4 linked regions of the Saccharomyces cerevisiae S288C genome follow. The main gene of each other region encodes a partner of the protein of the gene in region 2 in a complex. Each region holds a gene or a part of one and is shown on either strand. Other genes may lie near its edges. A codon is read from its position in the direction of its gene.

Region 1 (4,589 bases), on a different chromosome or scaffold from region 2:
TTGATCAACTGAATCTATTGGGATTGACGAACTATGACATGCACATTTTTCCAGACTCTGATCATTCCATCCGGTACCACAACGCTCAAAGAATTGTATTCCAAAAACTATACTATTGGTTAAGGGATGCCTTTGCTGAACGCTTTGACAACACTGAAGTTTTGCATTTATAAAACTTTATGGATGATTGCGATATTAACGATAACGATAGAGACAAACACGCGATTAATAATATAATAATATGAAGTTTCTCAATTGCAACGCATAATTTTGGAATGACATATTAGGTACAAATGTTAGACCTAATAAATGTAATATTTAACGACGGTTGTACGTACAGGTACATTATTTTGTGTACTATACTAATAAGAGTATTTTATATAGGGCGGTGATGATACCCATCGAGCTATTATCACCACACAGTTTTCGTATCTGTGATAGAACGGCTCACAAAATCAATGAGAAGAAAAGTGTAATTATAATCTTAGTGTATGAATAAATCATGCTTTCGTTTTCCTTTTTTTGCTACCACCAGGTTTACTGGTGGCAGTCTTCCTCTTCGTAGGTTTGGCTTTCTGCTTGATAAGTTTATCCTTCTTCAAGTCTGTGCTACTATCTTGTGTTTCTTCATCATCTGCGGGAACTGGATTGTCATCTGCGTCAACGACATCTTCGAAATCGGGGGTGCTAGTACTGGTGCCAACACCACCACCACCAATAGTACTACCTGTTCTGTAAATTGCGACTGGATGTGTCATACTGTTGTATTTCCGCGTGAATCCACTTTTAACCGTAGCTGGTATCTTTTTGATAATGGCTGTGGTCACATCAGGACCTACGAAAAACTCCATAATAGAATCCCAGTCTTCTTTGGTCAAATAGTAATCGTCCATTACCTCTATGACAGATGAAATTGCATCAGCACCTTGCTTCAAAAATGGGTCCAATAATCTTTTTCTAAAAGTTGGTAGGTAATCCAGCCTTAGTCCAATTTTATCAGTAGATGTACCTAGTCTTGTATGATAATGTATCTCTTGCAGTAACCTATAATATTTGGCAGATTTAGAATTTTGGCCCAACCAAGCTGTGAAATTGATTCTTCCCGCCATATGGCCGGCAACTTTTGATGCTGGATAAACAGATGAAAGAACAGCATGCAAAGGCAAAAGACTCCATAATTGCTCACTACTACGAATCTTCTTTTCGACAATATCACCTAATGAAATACAGTTAGCCGCCTCAGCAACTGCTTCCAAATGTGACTGGCCGGGTTTCAAAACGCTTGGTCTTGTAGATAAATAGTTTTCCTGAATCATTAGGGGTGTGAAATCAAAGTCATCAAAATATAATGCGATCTTATCATTCAGTGTAAAGTTCCTTGAACCTATGTCTGAGTATATTTGTCCATCCAACATTTTATGGGCAATGTCAAAGGGTTTTAGGGCAATATTCTTTTCCCATGCCTTTGAGATCTCGTTGATATTTTCATGGTTTATGGTTTTAGTAGTCGTAGATATCGTTGAAAGTAGATTAATAACCTGGCGGATATCACCTCTTGTAGTCTGTATCAACCTATCAATGACATTTGGATCAAGTTTGAACTTTTCTCTGATCGCAATTGTCATTAATCTTGATTTGATACTGTTAGCATCAGGTCTTCTAAATTGGATATCAAGACATACTCTATCGAATGGTCTCATTTTTGGTAAATTACGTTCATTACAAATTAGAATCAATGGAGTTGACGTCTTACGACAAAACTGTGCCAGCTGGCCAACTCCCCCCCTATCGCCTCCGCTCATACCATCAACTTCATCCATGATAATGACAAAATGTTTCCCGTTCAAATTTTGAGCTTCTTCGTTGTGTTTGAAATATCCCACTACAGACATGTTATCAAGAGCGTTTTTAACACCGGCATTAAGTAAAGTTTTAGAGCGAACATCAGAAGCGTTTTGTTCAAGAATGTCATACCCAAGCTCTTGTGCAACTAAATGAGCAGCAGTTGTCTTCCCAATACCAGGAGGACCGTATAACATTGCAGCCCTGAAAACACCAGAGCCATCTTTACCAGCATGTTTAAAACTATTTTTCTTTGAATTTTCCCAATTAGCCAACCAGTTTTTTAATTTCATTACACTTCCTTTGTTACCACAGACCTGTTGTAGATTCGTTGGTGCGTACTTTACTGTCCACAATTTATCTTCTTCCCTAACCACATTGTCTCTCTCCAGATGGCCACCAGAAACTCTAGTGGCTGCAAGCTTCTTCGACCTTTCCTCTTCTTTCTTAACAAGCAATTCTGCTTCTTTGGTAGCAATATTATGCTGTTCTTCTAATTTTCGACGTGCTTTTTCGGCAGCTTCCCCGTCACCACCTTCAGCAGGCATCCCAGCAATTAATTGCTTAAAGCCTTCTTCGTCTATGGCTTTGATTTTCAATTGCTTGATTTTTTCTAGTTTCTTTGGCCCTGCTTCATCACCTAAGACTACTACAGAAGTTTTGCTTGAAATTGATTTAGTAACCCTTGCTCCGTATCTTTTCGCTAAAGCTTCCGATGCACCACGCTCCAAGGTTGGCAGAACACCTGTGAAGACAATTGTTAGACCTAATAAACAATTTGGCTTTCCTTCTGGAAAACTACCTATTTCAGAAACAATTTCATCTGGATCCGCATTTGAATTTGCGCTTTTGAAATCAAATTTAGCATTCTCTTTCACATGAACATTTGACAGATCCAAGGATGGAATCTTATCTAGTACATCTTGAGCCGTAATATTCGAAGCCGAGTCTGAACTTTTAGAGGAGGGTTTGGTTTTTTTTGAACTTGCTGGCTTTACAGTTGGTGAAGAGGCCTTCCTCTTAGCGGGAAGAGGTAGCTTTTTTTCTCCTTCAGGTGTCTCTGATACATCAATTACATTACTTACAGGCATCTTCTTTGGTGTTTTATTGGTTGATTCTTGGTCAGATTCAGTATCTAAGTCGATAACTTCTGGTTTAGACGAACCCACCTGTCTCGTAGGTCTGGATGTTGACGATCTTACGGATTTCTTATTTTTACCAAAGAAATCAGAAATATTGACCATTTTCTTCAGCTTAGTTTATTATGAAGTGACTTGAAGTTATAAAATTAACTGCGAGATACCCAATTCCTTATTGTGTAAGGATCAAGCAGCGTATTCAACGAAGCCACTGTTTTCGCTGAGAGATCGGCTGTTCCTTCTCATGTTGATTTTTTTTTCAGTACTTCTTTTTGAATTTCGTGCTCATTTCGATACGAAAAATGGAAACAAACAGAAAGACCATTCATGAAGAACAAGAAAATCTTGTATAAACAGCTATATAGTAGATGCTTGTGTATACTTTCCACTTGATCCCCTCAAACAATTGCATTTTTTTTAATTAGAATGGGTAAAAATAAGAAGAAAACAGGTAAGAAGGCCAAGAGTCATCCTCATGTGGAGGACGTTGATGAAACCGTCAATAAACCTGAAGAAATCATCAATTCTGTAAACGTCACCGTTCCTCCAAAAATGTCCACAGATCCAGAGGCTGATGGTATCGTGGCAAGCCCGGACGATGAGGGGAAAGATCTCTCTGAAGGAGTAGACAAACAAAAAGTAAATGACGGCCTGACTGTAGACACCATAAATCCTTTAGAGGACAAAAAGGCTGGTGATGAGATGAAGGAACTAAGGGAAGAAATTGAACGTTTAAAATTGGAACTAAGCCACAAGAAGGATCAAGAAACGCCTAATGAAGACTTCAAAAATGAACTAGCAAATGTTATTAAGGAAAGAGACGAATTCAAAACACAGTATGACACATTATTGAGCAAGATATCTTCTATGAAATCAATTTTTAATAAGATGAAAGAAGCACAAAAACAATTAGAGGAAGTGCAGGAGCAGCTTACTGAATATGAATCACAAAATCTGAAATTGAAGAAGAAACTTGAAGCTACCAAGACCGAAAACTCTGAATTACAATCCACGATTGTGACCCTAAATACAGAGTTAGAAAACCTAGAAAAGGAGCAAGAAAGTACAGAAGAGGTTTTTTTGGAATACGAATCAAGGATAGAAGCTTTGGAAGATGAAAAACACGACATAATTGAAAAACATAGTAAGGAACTTAACACTTACAGGAAGGAAAAAGATCAATTAAATCTCCAAGTTCAGGAACTCATGATAATCTTAGAAAATAATAAACAAGATATATCTGACTTGAGAACAGAAAGAGATGAATTGAGACAGGCTTTGGAATCCCATGAAAAGGAGAAAGCAGTATTAAAGAATTCTCTAAATGATCTGGAATTGAAGATAGAAGAAGTTGACAACAAAAGGGAAGAAGAGGCTAGAGAGAGAGACCAGGAAGTCAAATCTTTACGATCCCAACTTGACACGGAGATAGAAACGCACAACAATGACACAGAAGCTTTAGAAAGCATGAAAAAACAGCTAGAAGCCATGAAGGAGGACGCCTCTATGAAGGAAAAATATGAGGAAGAATCTAAGCAGCACATCTTACAGATCGGAAAACTACGTCACGAAGCCATTATACTAAATGAGCATTTAACAAAGGCACTG
Region 2 (7,735 bases):
CAATTCCTCCCTTGCACTTATTTGTAAAGAATTGTGTTCTCAACAATGCAACTCGTATCCAAAAAAACGCCTATGTATATTTCATTGATCTTGACGAAACCTTTAGATTTCGAAAAAAATAGAATCGTGGTTCGTGGCGTCGTAGTGAATGACACAAGGGGTACATTCCGGGTGATAGGATGAAAAATGGGTAATAGTAATAGTACAGAAGAACCTTCTGGCACTTAACTTAAACCATTCTGAAATATGAGTGGACTTTATACATTTCATGCATATAAATATAACTATACAAAATTAGGAGAGGTGAGGAAGTGAAACTAAAACAAAAAGGCAAGGTTAAAACAATACAGGAAAATAGAAAGAGAAAAACAGTAATATATCTATGGGGATGCATCATGAGGTTTCTTCGTTTAATGTCAGTAGCAATTGTGCCAGACATCTCTTGGACCCGACGTCGTCTCTTAGTACTTCCGTAAAAGTGTTATCTCTCAGTTTGGCAGGTAAGACTATTTTCAATAGCCTGCGTGCTTCGAGATCGTCGCTTAATCTTAAGTAGCATCTAATGATATGTTTCAGTAGTCGTCCCGGTGGTGTGCTCACGGTCAAGTGCTCAACCATATCTTTTAAGACATTAGTTACGGCGTAGAACCTTTCCAAGGTGGCACAGATGTATTGCAATCCAACGTCATCTAGTAGGATTTTCTGTAAAATGAAAATGGCGACTGTCTTGGAAAGCTCAGAAGAAGATTCCATGATCCTTAGGCATAACGGCACGATATCGGTTCTTAGCAAAAACGTTATTACGTCTTGTGAGTCATTTTTGACCAATGCGCCTATCACACCTAATGAAGTCAATCTCAAGTACTCAAAAGTTCTTTGCCTGGAGGTAGTATTTAGGAAGGGGAAAAGAAAGAGAGGAATATGGGCCTGTAAAAAGAGATGTTTTGTCTCTGGGTGAGATGCAACACACTGTAGAAGAACTAGAGCGTTGCATACACGATTTGATAGATTGTTAGAGAGCATCTGAGGTTGCAGCATGGGATATACGGAAATGATTTCGTTCAGCAATGAGGTCATTACACCAAAGGAAGACCAAAGCACAACGGCAAGGTCATCAAACTGTTCTCTTTTGCGACCTAATTCAAGCAGTGCTTGTTCCTTTTGAGGGCCGTAGGTCAATTGACAAATCCAGTGGTATACATTGGGATCATCTAGAGCATGCACTGCGCCTCTATTATTGACCATGTTGGGATTGTTTCGAGTTGCGTTAGCATCGTTACCGCCGTTATTGCCGTTATTGCCGTTGTTCTCGCCATTTTCATTGCTATTATTATTATTCGGAGTATTGCCCATTAGCATGGGGCCTCCACTTGGAATTTGTTGATTCATGCCTGGACCCATTGAAGTTGGAACCCCAGGCATGGACATAGATCCTGGATTATTAGTTGAAGGACCACCACCACCCATGTTCACGCCTGCTCCATTGCCATATATTGGCTTTTGAGCGGAAAACATATTAACTTATTCAGAGGATGTTCAGTTGCTGTCGTTGTTGCTTCAGGAACAAAGTTTAATCTCGTCAAGATCAGCAGAAACACACACACTCGCAAATTTGTCAAAACTTGGGAGTTTTAAAAGATGAACGGTTTCTAACTTGCGTACTCTACGTCTTTGCAATCCCTTTACAATGTCTTCTATGCGTAAATTACTTTAAATTTGGATTTTGCCTCTTGCTGCTCGCAGCAAAATTCTCAGCATGTTGAGGTGTGTGGGTGGAGTTTTTCCTCTCCTGCTAGTAATACTTATGCAAGAATCTACGTCTAATGAGGTGCTCACGTTTTGCAATGATGATATAAATAGGGACAGTAATCTAATATAGACAAGTGGGCGTAATAGGGTTTTCTTCTCTCTCTTATGCATTCTGTAAGCATCTCGCTTTATGTGAGGAATAGTAGTAAAAGCGTATGATACAGGGAAATAGTAGTACTTTTACAATAGTATTGCTACTTGCATTCCCAAAAACATTCAATAAATGCACTTGGTTTCGAGCGTCTTTTGTTTATTTTTAAGTTTTGTTTGTTTTTTTTATTGTTTTGCTTCGTAGTTTCAATTTTAAACATTAATGTGTGCAAAAACTATAAGACAATGGTATACGCAAGAAAAACTATAAGTAGCATATTTAGTCTACTCCGAGCCATATCGGAAAGAACAATGTCGCGTCTTGCAAAGGCTGTTAATACATAGAATAGGCCACTCCAGGCATGTAAATACATGATTGATTGGATGAGCAACACTGAAATGGACCAGTGGCAACCTAACAGGATTTCTGATCTATTTCACGCCCAGAAAAAAGGCGTACATTCTATAATCTACTTAACAGACCTATACAAGCACTGTCCTACATATTTCAAAAGATTTAATTTACATATCGATTCCGTTCAACGTAAACAGTTTGCTCATAATACAGTCACAGATGTGAGAGAAAAAAAAAAAAGAAAATAAAGGAAAATGGATCAGAAATTTGGGTATACTTAATGCTTCATAGGACACCTGAGTACTTGTGGCATCCATGTTCAGACTGGTGCACAGCTTTTTTCTCGTCATTTACCATTTTTCCTTGAATTCATGTTTAATTTTCATCTTCGTCATGTGTTAAGGTACTATTACGAAACAAAATGTTAACGCCTTTGATAAACTTATCAAAGTTACGAGACCGGTTCGCACTACGATACTTTGCTATTGCTTCATTTTTTCTATCATATGTAAAACATAAACCACTGAGAGAAAACTTCTGCATTTAAATCAAATATGTCCGCCTTTTATACTTTAAGAAGAAAAAATTTATCTTTTTTCTTCCTCATATTGCAGGTATCACCCGAATGGAAGTTATAACGGCACAATCACTTAGGGCTTAACATACAATAACAAATACCATTTTTAATGTTGTGTTCAGTTGATTGTTATTATTATTAGGTATCCTTGATTATTTAAATTTATAATATATTATGTATCCGTTAATTATGCTCTATTAAAAATCTTTCTCCCACTAAGAGCCCCGTAAGGGCCATCTTGTTTACCACATTAAAACCCATGTTGACTCATGATCTGTTCCAGATCCCAACTTTGCCTGTTGACATTGTCGTTCCATTTCTCTACCGTCCTGACGTAATTCGTGTTAGCGACTGTGTTGTTCGCTATGTTGGTTACATCTTTTAGCCTTCTTAGATCATTACAACTGTCGACTAGAGTAGCAGAACTTAAATCGGATGCTATCGACACGTTTCTCTGTTTTTCGTAGAGTTTGAATCTGTTGTTTGATCTGATAGGACTCGTGCCAGCACAAGTCCTTCTGTTCATGGACATCATCATGTTAATTCTCTTCCTTTGGTCGCTGGATCTTGCCAAGTCTTGCTTGATGGGCTCTAATAGAGGCTGCAGATCTAGGATCAAATCTTCTGTGTTCACCCTGAGGTCCCAGTTCAACAGCTGTAACAACTGCCTTTCCATAAGGTTGATATCCTCTAGTGTAAAGAGACCATCGGTGTACCTAGCCCAGTGCTTGTTTAAAGGAGAAGAGTCATTGTGAAACTTAGCACTCAGTATCAAACAGGCCAAGAAAATGCGATGGATGGTCGAGGGGAGACCAGTAGCGTCCCTGGGCAGAATACGCTTTAATTTGTTCAAATAGCACGCAGCGGTGAGCAGAGTGGGTGTGTAGACGTTGGTGTATCTGACCAATCTAGTGATAAAAGTCATTAGCGATGGCAGCCTTGTGAGGTGTTTCTCTCCTGGAGAACCGGGAGGCGTGGGGTAGTTGCTTGAAGGAACAACCCTCAATGTTGTGTCTGTTAAGAATTTTATTATGTCATCCGTTACTGGCGACTTGAGCAGAATATGAAGAGCCTTGCTGTATTCACACATTTTATTACTTTACTGTTATTTGTATAATTGATTGTTTTTGTTATCGTTTTTGTTCTTGACAATGGATGATTGCTGATGTACGCAATAGTAATTCCAAGACACAAGAGTTAAGGACAAGCTTATCAATCCCATTACCATGTAGGCCTATTGACCTTATATATGTTTTCCTATCGCTATATGGAAGCTACCATTCCTTTTATTCTCCATAATAACGCCAAAATCTGCCCACAGCCTTGTAGCCTCATTTGGCTCCCGACATTTCGAGTCGCTTTTGCGTCGCATGCCTCCGCGAAAAATTTCGCGCCGGACGCGATTTTTAACACGAAATTCTTGTTCGTGCCGCTGTTGCCCTTTTGGGAAATATTTCCCGATCTGGCATTCGCAGAACACTAGAGCCAGAGTTCTGCCATTCTTTACGTCCAAGAGGTTAAAGTACAGATCACGTAACGGAATGCTACTTTCTGTAACAATTTGGCGATTCGCATTCTCAGTTGTTAGCTAGACGCCAATTGATTTACGGTTTCCGGTATGCAAATTGAAAATGCTTTCATCTATTTCTTTTATTTTTTTTATTTCGTTCTGGGCGTTGTGTTATGTTGTTATATTGCACAATGCAGTTGTTCTGTACATATTGTATCTATACATATTTGCGTCGATTATACGTTGGCTTTAACAGTTTCGTTCTCGAAGCTGGCCTTGATGGCGCCAATGACCGCGCTGCCCTGAATCTGGTCGTTGCCACCCTTGGATATCGAGTACTCTATATCGGCCAGTTTGGTAAGCAAATGCACTCTTGTTTCCTCATTTTGAAGTTCGTAGTCTTCCAGTATCTTCACTATGCCCTCGATTAGGTCGATCAACGCGAGACCCTTGGCACTGCGTACCTTATTAAGTGTGTAGTGGGCGGTACCCCAATCGTCCTCCAGTATCGACTTCAATACTGCCTTTAAGTCACTTGGTCTGGGTGCCCCACAGCATTCATAGATAACGTCGTCACTGATCTCATCCTCGTCGGGATTGTCTAAAGTAGCTTTGCAAGACTGCAAAACGTTTAACACACGTCTCATATCCCCATTAGAAAGTTCTATTAAGGCCTTCTCCGCATTAGGAGACAACTTCAGCTTCTCATGCACCAAGACGTTGGCTATCCGACGCTCAATGGCCTCTTGGGGCAAGGGCTGAAATCTGAATCTCGTGCACCTACTCAATAACGCAGGTGTAAGTTTATGCGCATAATTGGCCAATACACAGAACCGCGTATTCTTGGTGTACCGTTCTATAACTCTTCTCAACGCATTTTGTGCGGCATTGGTCATGGCATCTGCTTCATCCAGTATAATTAACTTGAACCCTTTAGAGAAGATTTGTCTTGTAGAGGCAAAGTCTTTAATTTGATTCCTCACCACATCAATACCTCTGTCATCGGATGCATTCAGCTCCAAAACCATGTTCGAGTAATTCTTACCATATATCTCACGTGCCAAAGCAACAATTGTAGAAGTTTTACCGGTACCTGGAGGCCCATAGAATAGAAGATGTGGCAATTTACCTTCATCTACAAATTTACGAACTGTGGTGATCACCTCATTTTGTCCGTACACTTCGTCCAACGTTTCGGGTCTGTATTTTTCAACCCATGGAAGGTTTTCTTTGCTCCTCTTCTCTGTACTTGTCGACATTCTTGTATGTCGGGCCTGTTCCTACACCTTTTATAAAATTATTCAAGCTTTGAAAAGATATTTATCCTGTGCTCTTTATAGCTTCTTTCCATTTCTTTCAAAATCGCGTACTGACCAAAAAAAAAAAAGATCAAAATTGAGAAGCCATACATAATATAATAATGATATAGTTTCGCTGCCATCGGACCGCAATAGTAACTCTACAAGTAAACGTGTTGTTTTCTCAAGAACAGGTTACTGAAACTGAGCCATTGGTTGCGGAAAATTTCCCTAATAATTTCGACCGGCTGACGTACCGTTTTGGCTATTTCTCAAATACTTGACTGGCTTAACTGCCATACTGAATTGCAGTAAAACCCGTAACACTACAATTTCTGTCCAGCGGCAGTATTATTTCTAAGGATGATAGTGTGGCAAGCACTATTCGTGGTTTACTGCCTATTTACCACTTCTATTCACGGTTTATTCCAAGACTTCAATCCTTTCGCAAATAAGAATATTTCCTTAAAGTTTCCCAGCCTAAATAGATGGGAGAAAAACGTTATGGCTACTGGTCAACAAACAATCATCAATTCGGATAGCATTTATGAATGGACCCCGATCTTATCTAACATAACAGCGGGCAAAAAAGACAGTTTTGTATTTACCATTGACGCAGAAGCCTCCGGTTATGGGTTTGCTCCCACGTATGAAGTGTTAATGTTTATTAGCGGCAATATATGCCAAATGCCCATGAATAGATCAGATGTGGATTTAACAATATACTACTCTTTTAATGAAACGGTTTTAGAGAACCCAAATATAGGTCAAAGTGCAGTTTTTCAGGATGGCTACATCCAAGCATTAGCCATCAGTCCAGTGCAGTCTTCTAGCTCGAACGCTACCTCCACGTATTCAAATCTTTATGTGGTCGCTGAGCTAGTGAATTCCACTACGGAGCAACCTCTGTCCAGTTCCGACGCCTCTGAAAATTGGGAATATAGACTGAGTATCTCTGAGAACGATTTGGTTTTTCAGTGGGATGTAAGGCCTTGGGTAGAGGTCCTGGACACTGATATGAATTCTGCATTACTATCAACGGGGAATGTCACCGCAGACGCCAAAGTTTATCACAATTATTCAATATATGATCCATCCTTGTACGATCTGTATGTTTACTCGTACGAAGATTCTGTTCAACTAAACCAAAACTATAATTTATCTCTTTGTGCTGTGAAAAATGGACCATATTTAGTGTCTTCCCAAAATACATCAAATGCAACAGTTACGTCAAATAGTACAAATCCTTTAGAGCGTACTGACTTGGCGATTCAAAAAAAAATTACAGAATATGGTGGTAGCGTGACAGAAATGTTTTACGTGACAGGACTGAATGCCTCAACAACTTATGTAGCGTACCTGACAAAGAAAATCAGTAATGGTGATGGGTTGTCAAGTGTGGGCGGCATTTTATTTTCACATGTTTATTTTACCACAAGAAGTACCGATGTCTGCTCTTTGATCTTTGGTTTGGACTTCTGCAGTGACGTCGCTTACTCTGTTCCTACATCCTCATTTTCTGTGGGTAATAAAACTCTCATGGCGCAGACATATGACCACATTGCAGAGGCACTATATGCAAATTTTAGCAAAGCTCTACAGTTAATATCCTGTGACGCAGACAAAGACGCAAGATATTCTCCGGTCATGACTTGTGACGATTGTGCCGAAGCTTATCGTGATTGGGTATGTGCAGTATCAATTCCGAGATGCACCACGACGTCTTCCCAATACTACATCCACAGAGATAAAAGTCACAACCGTAATGATTATTTGAATAAATTTATTAAACCTTTGGATGACTATTACGAAATTCTACCTTGTATTGACATGTGCTATACATTAGTACGAAATTGCCCAAGCGATTTTCAATTTTCCTGTCCGAATGATCTTACTACGGAAGATCTTCTTTATCAAAGTTACAATTTCTATATGGACACTGACTACTCAACCTGTAATTATATAGGTAACTCATCCTTGATGGTAATTCATCCATTGGACGATACGTAGAAGAGACCGAACTATCACAAAAAAATTGAACGATTTAAATGCATAAGTACATCGATTTTTTTTAAATCATATATACACATAAAAAA
Region 3 (7,757 bases), on a different chromosome or scaffold from region 2:
GTAAGGCCATTGAAGATGCAGTTAAAAAGGTTTTGGATGCAGGTATCAGAACTGGTGATTTAGGTGGTTCCAACAGTACCACCGAAGTCGGTGATGCTGTCGCCGAAGAAGTTAAGAAAATCCTTGCTTAAAAAGATTCTCTTTTTTTATGATATTTGTACATAAACTTTATAAATGAAATTCATAATAGAAACGACACGAAATTACAAAATGGAATATGTTCATAGGGTAGACGAAACTATATACGCAATCTACATACATTTATCAAGAAGGAGAAAAAGGAGGATGTAAAGGAATACAGGTAAGCAAATTGATACTAATGGCTCAACGTGATAAGGAAAAAGAATTGCACTTTAACATTAATATTGACAAGGAGGAGGGCACCACACAAAAAGTTAGGTGTAACAGAAAATCATGAAACTATGATTCCTAATTTATATATTGGAGGATTTTCTCTAAAAAAAAAAAAATACAACAAATAAAAAACACTCAATGACCTGACCATTTGATGGAGTTTAAGTCAATACCTTCTTGAACCATTTCCCATAATGGTGAAAGTTCCCTCAAGAATTTTACTCTGTCAGAAACGGCCTTAACGACGTAGTCGACCTCCTCTTCAGTACTAAATCTACCAATACCAAATCTGATGGAAGAATGGGCTAATGCATCATCCTTACCCAGCGCATGTAAAACATAAGAAGGTTCTAGGGAAGCAGATGTACAGGCTGAACCCGAGGATAATGCGATATCCCTTAGTGCCATCAATAAAGATTCTCCTTCCACGTAGGCGAAAGAAACGTTAACACACCCTGGATAACGATGATCTGGAGATCCGTTCAACGTGGTATGTTCAGCGGATAATAGACCTTTGACTAATTTATCGGATAGTCTTTTGATGTGAGCTTGGTCGTTGTCAAATTCTTTCTTCATCAATCTCGCAGCTTCACCAAATCCCGCTACCAATGGGGGGGCCAAAGTACCAGATCTCAATCCTCTCTCTTGGCCACCACCGGATAGTAAAGGTTCTAATCTAACTCTTGGTCTCCTTCTTACATAGATGGCACCTATTCCCTTTGGACCGTAAATCTTGTGAGAAGAAATTGATAGTAAATCAATGTTCATTTCATTGACATCAATGTGAATCTTACCATAGGCTTGTGCGGCGTCAGTATGAAAGTAGATCTTATTCTTTCTACAAATTGCACCAATTTCTTTAATAGGTTGAATGACACCGATTTCATTATTGACAGCCATCACAGAGACGAGACAGGTATCTGGTCTAATGGCATCTTCCAATTCCTTCAAATCGATAAGACCTTGATCGTCCACATTTAGGAAAGTGACTTCAAATCCCTCCTTCATCATGGCCCGTGCGGCTTCCAAGACACACTTGTGTTCCGTTCTAGTGGTGATGATGTGTTTCTTAGTCTTCTTATAAAATCTTGGGACACCCTTAAGAACCATATTATTAGATTCGGTCGCTCCCGAAGTGAATATTATTTCCTTGGGGTCGGCATTGATCATCTTTGCTACGTGAGCTCTAGCATTTTCCACAGCAGTATTTGTTTCCCAACCGTAAGAGTGAGTGTTGGAATGAGGATTACCATAAAGTCCCGTATAAAACTTCAACATCGTATCCAAAACCCTAGGGTCTGTTGGTGTAGTGGCTTGCATGTCAAGATATATGGGACGAGTACCAAAACCTGTGTTTTCTTGATAAGCATGGCTCATTGCAGTGCTACCAGAAGCTACTACAGCATCTGGGGTGGTACCGGATGCACTCGCACGGGCACTAGCCTGTGCCTTTGCAGCAGCCTGAATATCGGTATGCGTTTCCAGAGAGAAGTTGTCGTCTAACTTCACGCCTGCTGCAGGAGGGGAATAGAATCTCCTGCTTACCAAACAAGCCCTATATGTGGCCGCTGGAACGTTGTAAACTTGAGATAATCTTGTTATCGATCTTGTAGCAGTTGATTTCAACATCTTCCAGTTGTAGCAGTTCCTTCGTGTATGCGATATATTTTAATGAAAATGATGTATCTGAAATAGAAAATATAACACACTAATGAACTCTGTCGGTCTTTACTCTGAGTGAGTTACTTAGATAGTCATCATATATCCCTGGGCGATGGCCTTACTATTTGTCAGCGACCGTATCTAAAATTGGTAGGTCACTATCAACTATTGCGGGTAATAGGGTGCATAATAGTATTGTAATATATATAAATATATAAAGCTACTATGATAGATATTTGTTGCTATTCACGTCATCCACTATTACTTTAGTGGTTCCGCTATATATTCGCATTGCCCATCGAAGGCAGTTTTGTGTGCTACCTGCTCGTGACCACGGTCTTTTTGCCCAGTCTTTTACGGCGGGCATACTTCATGATGAAACTGTCTATTTTCATACCTCTTGAATTTAGTTCTTCAATTAGAGGCTTGATATCCTCCAAGTCCCACTGTGACTGTAGCCTAAACAGGACTTTAAACCGTTCTTTGGGGTCCATTGGTAGTGTGCTTTTCGCTATATACTGGACAGTCTTATCGGTAGGCTTGAAATGATAGCCTCGCAGCATGTCAATGTCAATGTCACATGGGAAGAAAGGTGGGAAAAGGGACTTCCACTTGATGAGGAACTCATCAATTGGCATGCTTATTCCAGAAACATATTTCCTTAGCGCTTGAATCCCGTACCACTGAGCTATAAACGGTATTCTCAAGCGCCACGTATTGTTTTCAGCCTCTTGCTCTTGAACAGCAAATTTATTCAGCACTGTTTCAATGATTTCTCTTGTGTATGGATTGAACTCGTCCTCAATGTCCTTCCCCACAGCGTGATGTGTATCCTCAACATTCAGATGCTGTAGATCGAGTGATTCTGCCATTGCGCTCATCAGTAGTACATGCAGTGCTTTGAAAAGGAAGTCTTGTGAAAGAATACACAACACACCGTCTTTCACAGATCCACCAATCTTATGCCATTTTGATATACCTTCTAGCGCAGAACATGGTGAGTTCTCAAGTAGTTCTTCCAGGGTCCCGATAACCTTTGTAGATGACCTCTTCATGATTTTGTCGGAGAAATCCAGTTCTCCGTTGTATATTGGTACTGAATTCAAGTTCAATTCGCCATGTGTCTCTCTGGTCTCAAATTCTGATTCAGTCTTGGCGAATCCCACGACGTCCATGTACGGCTTGGACAGTCCAAACAAGAGCGTTTCGTCGAAAGTAATAGGTTGTTCAGGAACAAATTCTCTCATTAGTAGAACTGTGTTTGAATGTTTGCGCTGCTTCAGCACCCAAGTCTTGTCGTGCGAACACAGTACAACTTCAGACTTGTCTTTGTCCAATGACTTAAACCTTAACTGGTGATTTTGAACCGGATCCTGTATTATATCCAGTAACTCTGGTGTCAACTGGATCAGCTTATAAGATGGATCATACTCGGGTGCGGAATGTAGGTTGATGGACATGGTACAGGATTATTAGTGAGCAAATCTCTGGTGGATTTTTACCGTTCATCTCATAGTGCTTTTTTAGTTTATTTTTCACTTTTTTCTGGTTATACTATACGCTGCCTACTGAAGCAATAAGCAAGAAACACAACAGTATAAAGGGACAAAGATAATAAACCGCCTACTACTAAATAATATCGCTGTGGTATGCTACTCCTAGAGATTTCGATCACCATCGTGGTGCTCTTTGTCATACGCATAGAATTGACAAAAAAGAACCCTAAGCTATAAATTAGGTCATGTTGAGCGATTGCCAGTTGCCAAGACCTAGGGTTTTGTTCGAACAATTCTAAAAAGGTAAATAAAAACAATGGTAAACAAAGGCTTTGATCTTCAATGAGGAAGATTTCTCTCACTGCGGATAGTAAAAACAACACTAGTTTGTCTGTACTCGCATTCTACTGCTGCTACCTGCTACTCATTACGTGTTCGGGCTGTTATCTGGTTGCTAAAAGAGTATATTTACACCTCACCAATGGAGAAAGACCTGTCGTCTCTTTACTCTGAAAAGAAAGACAAAGAGAACGATGAAACCTTATTTAACATCAAACTATCCAAATCTGTTGTCGAGACCACACCGCTAAATGGTCATTCATTGTTTGATGATGATAAATCACTTTCAGACTGGACGGATAATGTGTTCACTCAATCAGTATTCTATCACGGGTCAGATGACTTGATATGGGGGAAGTTCTTTGTCTGCGTGTACAAGTCCCCCAACAGCAATAAGTTGAACGCTATAATATTCGACAAATTAGGAACATCATGCTTCGAATCCGTCGATATATCTTCCAACTCGCAATACTATCCGGCCATTGAGAATTTGAGTCCAAGTGATCAGGAAAGCAATGTTAAGAAATGCATTGCTGTCATTCTGTTACAGCGCTATCCATTACTTTCACCATCAGACTTATCACAAATATTGTCCAATAAATCGGAAAATTGCGACTATGACCCCCCTTATGCTGGAGATTTGGCTAGTAGTTGCCAGTTGATAACAGCAGTTCCTCCAGAAGATCTGGGGAAGCGCTTCTTTACATCAGGACTTCTGCAAAATAGATTTGTCAGCTCTACCCTGTTAGATGTTATTTATGAAAACAATGAATCCACCATCGAACTAAATAATAGGTTGGTATTCCATCTGGGTGAACAACTTGAACAACTTTTTAACCCAGTCACAGAATACTCACCGGAACAGACAGAATATGGTTATAAGGCGCCAGAGGACGAATTACCCACAGAATCGGATGATGATCTTGTCAAGGCCATTTGCAACGAGTTATTACAACTACAAACAAATTTTACTTTCAATTTGGTAGAATTTTTGCAAAAATTCCTGATCGCCTTGAGAGTCAGAGTACTCAATGAAGAAATTAATGGGTTATCCACAACCAAATTAAATCGACTCTTCCCACCTACAATAGATGAAGTCACAAGAATCAATTGTATTTTTCTAGACTCGCTAAAGACAGCAATCCCTTACGGTTCCCTCGAAGTACTGAAGGCATGCAGCATTACTATTCCTTATTTCTACAAAGCATATACAAGACACGAGGCGGCCACAAAGAACTTCAGCAAAGATATTAAATTGTTTATTAGGCATTTCAGCAATGTAATTCCAGAAAGAGAGGTCTACACGGAAATGAAAATCGAGAGTATAATTAAGGGACCTCAGGAAAAACTACTGAAGCTAAAGTTAATTATAGAGAGATTGTGGAAGTCGAAAAAATGGAGACCGAAAAATCAAGAAATGGCAAAAAAATGCTACAACAATATCATTGATGTCATTGATTCGTTTGGAAAATTAGATTCCCCACTTCATTCTTATAGTACCAGAGTATTTACTCCATCGGGAAAAATCCTTACAGAATTAGCCAAATGCTGGCCCGTAGAACTGCAATACAAATGGCTGAAGAGAAGGGTAGTCGGTGTGTATGATGTAGTGGATTTGAATGATGAAAATAAGAGAAATTTATTAGTCATATTCAGTGATTATGTGGTTTTCATCAATATACTGGAGGCAGAAAGTTACTACACTTCAGATGGATCAAACAGGCCCTTAATCTCAGATATTTTAATGAACTCATTGATCAACGAAGTTCCGTTGCCCTCCAAGATCCCTAAGTTGAAAGTGGAGCGTCATTGCTATATAGATGAGGTTCTAGTTTCTATATTAGACAAAAGCACTCTACGTTTTGATCGATTGAAGGGAAAAGATTCTTTCTCAATGGTATGTAAATTATCCTCTGCATTTATCTCTTCTTCGTCAGTTGCTGACTTGATTACGAAGGCTAGAATTTTGGAAAAAGACACTGCATTTCATTTATTTAAAGCTAGTAGAAGCCATTTTACATTATATTCTACTGCTCACGAGCTTTGCGCTTATGATTCCGAAAAAATAAAATCAAAATTTGCCTTATTCCTGAACATACCACCATCCAAGGAGATATTGGAGGTCAACAACCTTCATTTGGCTTTTTTTGCAAGATTTTGCAGTAACGATGGTAGAGATAACATCGTAATCTTAGACGTCTTAACCAAACATGACGATAAACATATAGAAGTTACATCCGATAACATTGTTTTCACCATAATTAATCAATTGGCCATTGAAATACCGATATGCTTTTCTTCCTTAAACTCATCGATGGCCAAAGATTTACTCTGTGTAAATGAGAATTTGATAAAAAACTTAGAACATCAATTGGAAGAGGTCAAGCACCCTTCAACAGACGAACATAGGGCTGTTAATAGCAAACTTTCCGGTGCATCCGATTTCGATGCTACTCACGAGAAGAAAAGATCATACGGTACCATAACAACATTTAGAAGCTATACAAGCGACTTGAAGGACAGTCCATCAGGCGATAATAGTAATGTCACCAAGGAAACTAAGGAAATTTTACCAGTGAAACCTACGAAAAAGTCTTCAAAAAAACCAAGAGAAATTCAAAAGAAGACCAAGACAAACGCCTCTAAAGCAGAGCACATAGAAAAGAAGAAGCCTAACAAAGGCAAAGGGTTTTTTGGCGTGTTAAAAAATGTTTTTGGAAGTAAAAGCAAGAGCAAGCCTTCACCAGTTCAAAGAGTGCCTAAAAAAATATCGCAGAGGCATCCTAAGTCTCCAGTGAAGAAGCCAATGACCTCAGAAAAGAAATCCTCCCCTAAAAGGGCAGTCGTTTCATCTCCCAAAATTAAAAAGAAAAGTACTTCTTTTTCCACAAAAGAATCACAAACTGCTAAATCTTCTCTTCGAGCAGTTGAATTCAAATCTGATGACTTGATCGGAAAACCACCTGATGTTGGAAATGGCGCACATCCTCAAGAAAATACCAGAATATCTTCAGTAGTAAGGGATACAAAATATGTCTCCTACAATCCCTCTCAGCCTGTGACAGAAAATACCAGTAACGAAAAAAATGTCGAACCAAAAGCGGATCAATCCACAAAGCAGGATAACATTTCCAATTTTGCAGATGTAGAGGTATCTGCGTCTTCTTATCCTGAAAAACTTGATGCAGAAACAGATGATCAAATAATTGGGAAGGCGACGAATTCGTCATCAGTTCATGGAAATAAAGAGCTGCCAGACCTTGCTGAGGTGACTACAGCAAATAGGGTTTCTACAACATCGGCTGGGGACCAACGTATTGATACCCAAAGCGAATTTTTACGTGCAGCTGATGTTGAAAACTTAAGTGATGACGATGAACACAGACAGAATGAAAGTAGAGTTTTTAACGATGACCTCTTTGGTGATTTTATTCCTAAGCATTACCGTAATAAACAGGAGAACATTAACAGCTCGAGTAATTTGTTTCCAGAGGGAAAGGTGCCCCAAGAAAAGGGCGTATCAAATGAAAACACTAACATATCTCTCAAAACTAATGAAGATGCATCTACATTGACGCAGAAACTCTCTCCACAAGCGAGTAAAGTGCTGACAGAAAATTCTAATGAATTAAAAGATACCAACAATGAAGGGAAGGACGCAAAGGACATAAAATTAGGAGATGATTACAGTGATAAAGAAACAGCGAAAGAAATAACTAAACCAAAAAATTTTGTTGAAGGAATAACTGAACGGAAAGAAATATTCCCCACTATTCCTAGGTTAGCGCCGCCAGCTTCAAAAATTAACTTTCAAAGGTCACCATCCTATATTGAGCTCTTTCAAGGAATGAGGGTGGTTTTAGATAAGCATGATGCCCATTATAACTGGAAACGCTTGGCTAGTCA
Region 4 (4,510 bases), on a different chromosome or scaffold from region 2:
CTACTAATCTCTTTGCTAAAACATGTTGCAACCAAATAGGGCTACCATTGTACTTCTAATGAATACTCTTTACGGCGCACTGCAATGCGTAATAAAGTTTTATTGTAGCGAGGTTTCATTTTTGCTTATGTTCTTTTTATTGTTTAATACGTGCATATGTATTCTATAAGATAAATGTATATAACTGCCAACAAAATAAACTAAAATCAAGGTATGGCTGTAGAAAATGATACCACAGATAATAAAATAATAAATAATCTAATAGCTGAGTGGAAGAAAAAAAAAAAATAAAAAAAGAGTAGTACAAACTAAGGAGATAAAAGTGTGAACTATGCCTATTCAAAAAAGTAGAATAGAGTAAATAAGCATACTTGTACTTATCTCAGTTGTAAAATATCGTTACTTAGAACTCCTCTTTTCTCTCTCGAAAAAAAAATGTCTTTAAAAATAATATCATTTCATCGAAAAGGCTTCCGGAGCTTCACCTTCCGGTCCAATATACTTTGGATCCCTCCATGGACCGATATCGGATAGGTATAACCCACCCTTGGATTCATCAACTTCAGACTTACCGCCAAATTTGACTGGTAAGTTTTCAGCTGGAATTTGCTTTAATAATTCCTTCTGGTAAGAAGAACCCAAGATAAAAATCTTTGAAACAGTGACTGGATCCAAGAAAGGTTTAAATAGCCTAAATGCGGTAGAGAAACCGAATGGCGCGTTGATGATGTAAAATTTACCCATACGTTCGGGGTAATAGTTTTGACTTATGTAGGAGGCTTCCCTAACATATGACATAACACTGTATGCACTAGATATGGAGATACCTTTCAAATCCATAATTGTACATGAAGTTTCCACTAGGTGACCAGCAGCTCTTGAACAGGCAGGTAATCTGTATTGAACGACAGATTCGTATTCCCAAACCAAGTTTTTCAACATCCTCTCTTCAGAGGTAACCTTGTTCATTTCATGTAAGTTAACAGCACCTAATTCTTCAAAATATACTGGGCGGCCATCTTTATCGGTTTTATGATAATATTGTGGGTAGAATTTGGCAATCAATGGTTTTTCATCATAATGAAAATCTTGCAAGATAGTGTCGGTACCATAATCCTTCCTCCATTTTTCGCAGTTTTCAAACATTTCTTTAGCCAATTGAACATCAAATTTTCTGGCTCTCAAAAAACGTAGTAAAGTTGAATCGTCTAAACGTTCAATGAAACCAGCGTCTTCCAAAAGTTTTCTTAGTTCTGCCAATGCCTTCTCTTGAGCGCTGTCTAAATTTCCTGGAGTACCAGGCAAGGCATCTGGAGGACAGTTTTGAGGGTAGGATTCTAAAAATTCCTTTTCTTGTTGCTATTTAAAGTGAAGTCATAGTAATACCACTTGTGTTTGTTAGTAAACTTATTGATATATCATTTTTGCTTCATATAGACAGAACTATCTGAAGAATGTGAATATTGTCACAATGAATGTCAAAAAAAGAAAAAGTAAATAAAAGCAACAACATACTGTAACCATTGTGTTTTAGGGCGATGAAGGTTTGGTTTGATGCTACAGGCGCTGGTCAAGCGATATACCAGGAAAGGACACTTAAGACACAAACAAAGGAAGATGTACCATTTTATTGTTGATCAACGTTGAAAAAAAAAATGTGGAAAAAACGAACTAGCCAGTCGCGTTGTACGGAACATCTAACACGTAAATAAACATGATTTCATATATTTTATTCCTAATGTGTACACTATTTGACCCAAAAGGTGGATGTAAGGTCAGGGATCATGGTTGATACCGCACCATACATTGGTTCACTAGGGAGAAGTTCCCTTTTTGATACTGGTGATATAGAACAAGCCCCTGGTAATAATGCAATTGGTATTAATGAGGAAGATATTCACGCGTTTGTATCAAGTACTGGCGAAACGGTTCAATTAAAGAAGAAGCCTGCGAAGTTAGCAACCGGGAATATTAGTCTATACACTAACCCAGATACTGTTTGGAGATCAGACGACACGTACGGCATCAATATAAACTATTTGTTAGACAAAATTGAGGCATCTGGCGATGACCGCACTAACGCACAAAAGACTTCACCTATAACTGGCAAGATAGGTAGCGACACACTCTGGGTAGAGAAATGGCGTCCTAAAAAATTTCTAGATTTGGTTGGTAATGAAAAGACAAACAGGAGAATGTTAGGTTGGTTGAGACAATGGACGCCGGCTGTGTTTAAAGAGCAATTACCCAAATTGCCAACCGAAAAAGAGGTCAGTGATATGGAACTCGATCCATTGAAAAGGCCACCAAAGAAAATTTTACTACTGCACGGGCCACCAGGAATAGGCAAAACCTCAGTAGCTCACGTTATTGCCAAACAATCAGGGTTTTCTGTCTCAGAAATCAATGCAAGTGATGAAAGGGCTGGACCTATGGTAAAAGAGAAAATATATAATCTTTTATTCAATCATACTTTCGATACAAATCCTGTGTGCTTAGTGGCGGATGAGATTGATGGAAGTATTGAGAGTGGATTTATTAGAATTTTAGTTGACATTATGCAAAGCGATATTAAAGCCACTAATAAACTATTATACGGTCAACCAGATAAAAAGGACAAAAAGCGCAAAAAGAAAAGGTCTAAATTGCTTACGCGACCTATTATTTGTATTTGCAATAATCTATATGCTCCTTCTTTGGAAAAGCTGAAACCATTCTGTGAAATTATTGCTGTGAAAAGACCTTCCGATACTACCCTACTAGAGCGATTGAACCTTATCTGCCATAAAGAAAACATGAATATTCCTATAAAAGCAATCAATGACTTAATTGATTTGGCTCAAGGTGACGTAAGGAATTGTATAAACAATTTACAATTCTTGGCCTCGAATGTTGATTCAAGAGATTCCTCTGCATCAGATAAACCTGCTTGTGCAAAAAATACGTGGGCGTCATCCAACAAGGACTCCCCCATATCATGGTTTAAAATCGTGAACCAATTGTTTAGAAAGGATCCACATCGTGATATAAAGGAGCAGTTTTATGAATTGCTAAACCAAGTAGAGCTTAATGGTAACTCTGACAGGATATTGCAAGGCTGTTTTAATATATTTCCCTACGTAAAATATTCCGACAATGGTATAAGAAAGCCAGCAAACATTTCAGATTGGCTATTTTTCCATGATTTAATGTACCAATCAATGTATGCGCATAATGGCGAATTGTTACGTTACTCCGCCCTTGTGCCCCTAGTCTTCTTCCAAACGTTTGGCGATATCGCAAACAAAGATGATATTAGAATGAAGAATAGTGAATACGAACAACGTGAATTAAAACGAGCCAATTCAGATATAGTTAGTCTGATTATGAGACATATCTCGGTTCAGTCCCCACTAATGGCAAGTTTTACGGATAGAAAATCGTTAATCTTTGAAATACTACCATATCTAGATTCGATGATCTCTTCCGATTTTAATAAAATAAGGAACCTGAAACTCAAACAAGCCATCATGGAGGAATTAGTTCAATTGCTGAAAAGCTTTCAACTGAATCTAATCCAAAATCGGTCAGAAGGATTTGATGTAAGGGGTGGCCTAACAATCGATCCCCCAATCGATGAAGTCGTATTGTTAAATCCTAAACATATTAACGAAGTCCAACATAAACGGGCTAATAATTTGAGTTCACTGTTAGCAAAGATTGAGGAAAACCGGGCCAAGAAAAGGCATATAGACCAAGTGACTGAGGATAGACTACAGTCACAGGAAATGCATAGCAAAAAAGTCAAAACTGGGTTAAATTCTTCCTCAAGTACAATCGACTTTTTCAAGAATCAGTACGGATTATTGAAGCAAACTCAGGAATTGGAAGAGACACAAAAAACTATTGGATCAGACGAAACCAACCAAGCAGATGACTGCAATCAAACGGTTAAAATATGGGTGAAATACAATGAGGGGTTCTCTAACGCTGTCAGGAAAAATGTGACTTGGAATAACCTGTGGGAATAAATGACGTAAGATATATACGCAGTCTCTCTTAAGAAGCATACTTGTATATGGACCAGCAGCTTACATAGAAATCTAAAAGAAGTAAATAAAGAACATTAGCAATCAATCCTGCCGGTAGTCGCAACAGCTCCGATTTTGTCACGCAGCGTTCGTTTTTTATTCGTGATCTTTTACCCTCTTCGCTATCGTTCTTATTTCTACATAAATGGAACCCCGAAGAGCAGAAAGACCGAAAATCGAATTACTATCTGTGGGATACAATATAGCGCATAGAAAAGAACAAAACATAGATAGTTTGGAAAAATAGTACAGACTGCTGAATTAACTCCACTTGGTGCTTTTGTATATATCGAATGGGCCAAAAAAGTAGTAAAGTGCATATAACCAAAACAGATAGGGCGATCCTAGAAGTAAAACGATCTAAAGATGAAATTCATAAGTTTACGAGGAGGACAGATAATTTGATTTTGGTAGAGAAGAGTCAACTAAAAGACCTAATA

The links.
Region 1: the proteins of RFC3 (region 2) and RFC1 are in contact, whole or in part, in a crystal structure (PDB 1SXJ), measured with the Saccharomyces cerevisiae proteins. Residues at the interface, in NP_014109.1 of Saccharomyces cerevisiae: Asp120 (codon at 5,243), Met122 (codon at 5,237), Thr123 (codon at 5,234), Asn124 (codon at 5,231), Ala125 (codon at 5,228), Gln127 (codon at 5,222), His151 (codon at 5,150), Lys152 (codon at 5,147), Leu153 (codon at 5,144), Pro155 (codon at 5,138); in NP_014860.1 of Saccharomyces cerevisiae: Glu635 (codon at 1,184), Gln636 (codon at 1,181), Trp638 (codon at 1,175), Ser639 (codon at 1,172).
Region 3: RFC3 (region 2) and DCC1 share a complex: the UniProt entries of both Saccharomyces cerevisiae proteins name them as parts of the CTF18-RFC complex.
Region 4: RFC3 (region 2) and CTF18 share a complex: the UniProt entries of both Saccharomyces cerevisiae proteins name them as parts of the CTF18-RFC complex.

The regions. Positions count from the first base shown.
Region 1 is NC_001147.6:747,798-752,386, reverse strand, and holds RFC1 (replication factor C subunit 1), read right to left. Parts: upstream 3,087-4,589; coding exon 501-3,086; downstream 1-500. Other genes in the region: STE13 (Ste13p), read left to right, coding at 1-173; RUD3 (Rud3p), read left to right, coding at 3,408-4,589. UniProt on the Saccharomyces cerevisiae protein: Component of the ATP-dependent clamp loader RFC complex for the POL30/PCNA homotrimer DNA clamp.
Region 2 is NC_001146.8:84,083-91,817, reverse strand, and holds RFC3 (replication factor C subunit 3), read right to left. Parts: upstream 5,601-7,735; coding exon 4,578-5,600; downstream 1-4,577. Other genes in the region: CCR4-NOT core subunit CAF40, read right to left, coding at 394-1,515; PCL1 (Pcl1p), read right to left, coding at 3,082-3,921; MID1 (Mid1p), read left to right, coding at 6,003-7,649. UniProt on the Saccharomyces cerevisiae protein: Component of ATP-dependent clamp loader (RFC and RFC-like) complexes for DNA clamps, such as the POL30/PCNA homotrimer and the checkpoint clamp DDC1:MEC3:RAD17 complex.
Region 3 is NC_001135.5:92,288-100,044, forward strand, and holds DCC1 (Dcc1p), read right to left. Parts: upstream 3,477-7,757; coding exon 2,334-3,476; downstream 1-2,333. Other genes in the region: LEU2 (3-isopropylmalate dehydrogenase), read left to right, coding at 1-131; NFS1 (cysteine desulfurase), read right to left, coding at 490-1,983; BUD3 (Bud3p), read left to right, coding at 3,994-7,757. UniProt on the Saccharomyces cerevisiae protein: Component of the RFC-like complex CTF18-RFC which is required for efficient establishment of chromosome cohesion during S-phase and may load or unload POL30/PCNA.
Region 4 is NC_001145.3:422,003-426,512, reverse strand, and holds CTF18 (Ctf18p), read left to right. Parts: upstream 1-1,784; coding exon 1,785-4,010; downstream 4,011-4,510. Other genes in the region: phosphatidylinositol/phosphatidylcholine transfer protein SEC14, read right to left, coding at 454-1,359, 1,516-1,524; ESCRT-III subunit protein VPS20, read left to right, coding at 4,364-4,510. UniProt on the Saccharomyces cerevisiae protein: Essential for the fidelity of chromosome transmission. Required for the DNA replication block checkpoint.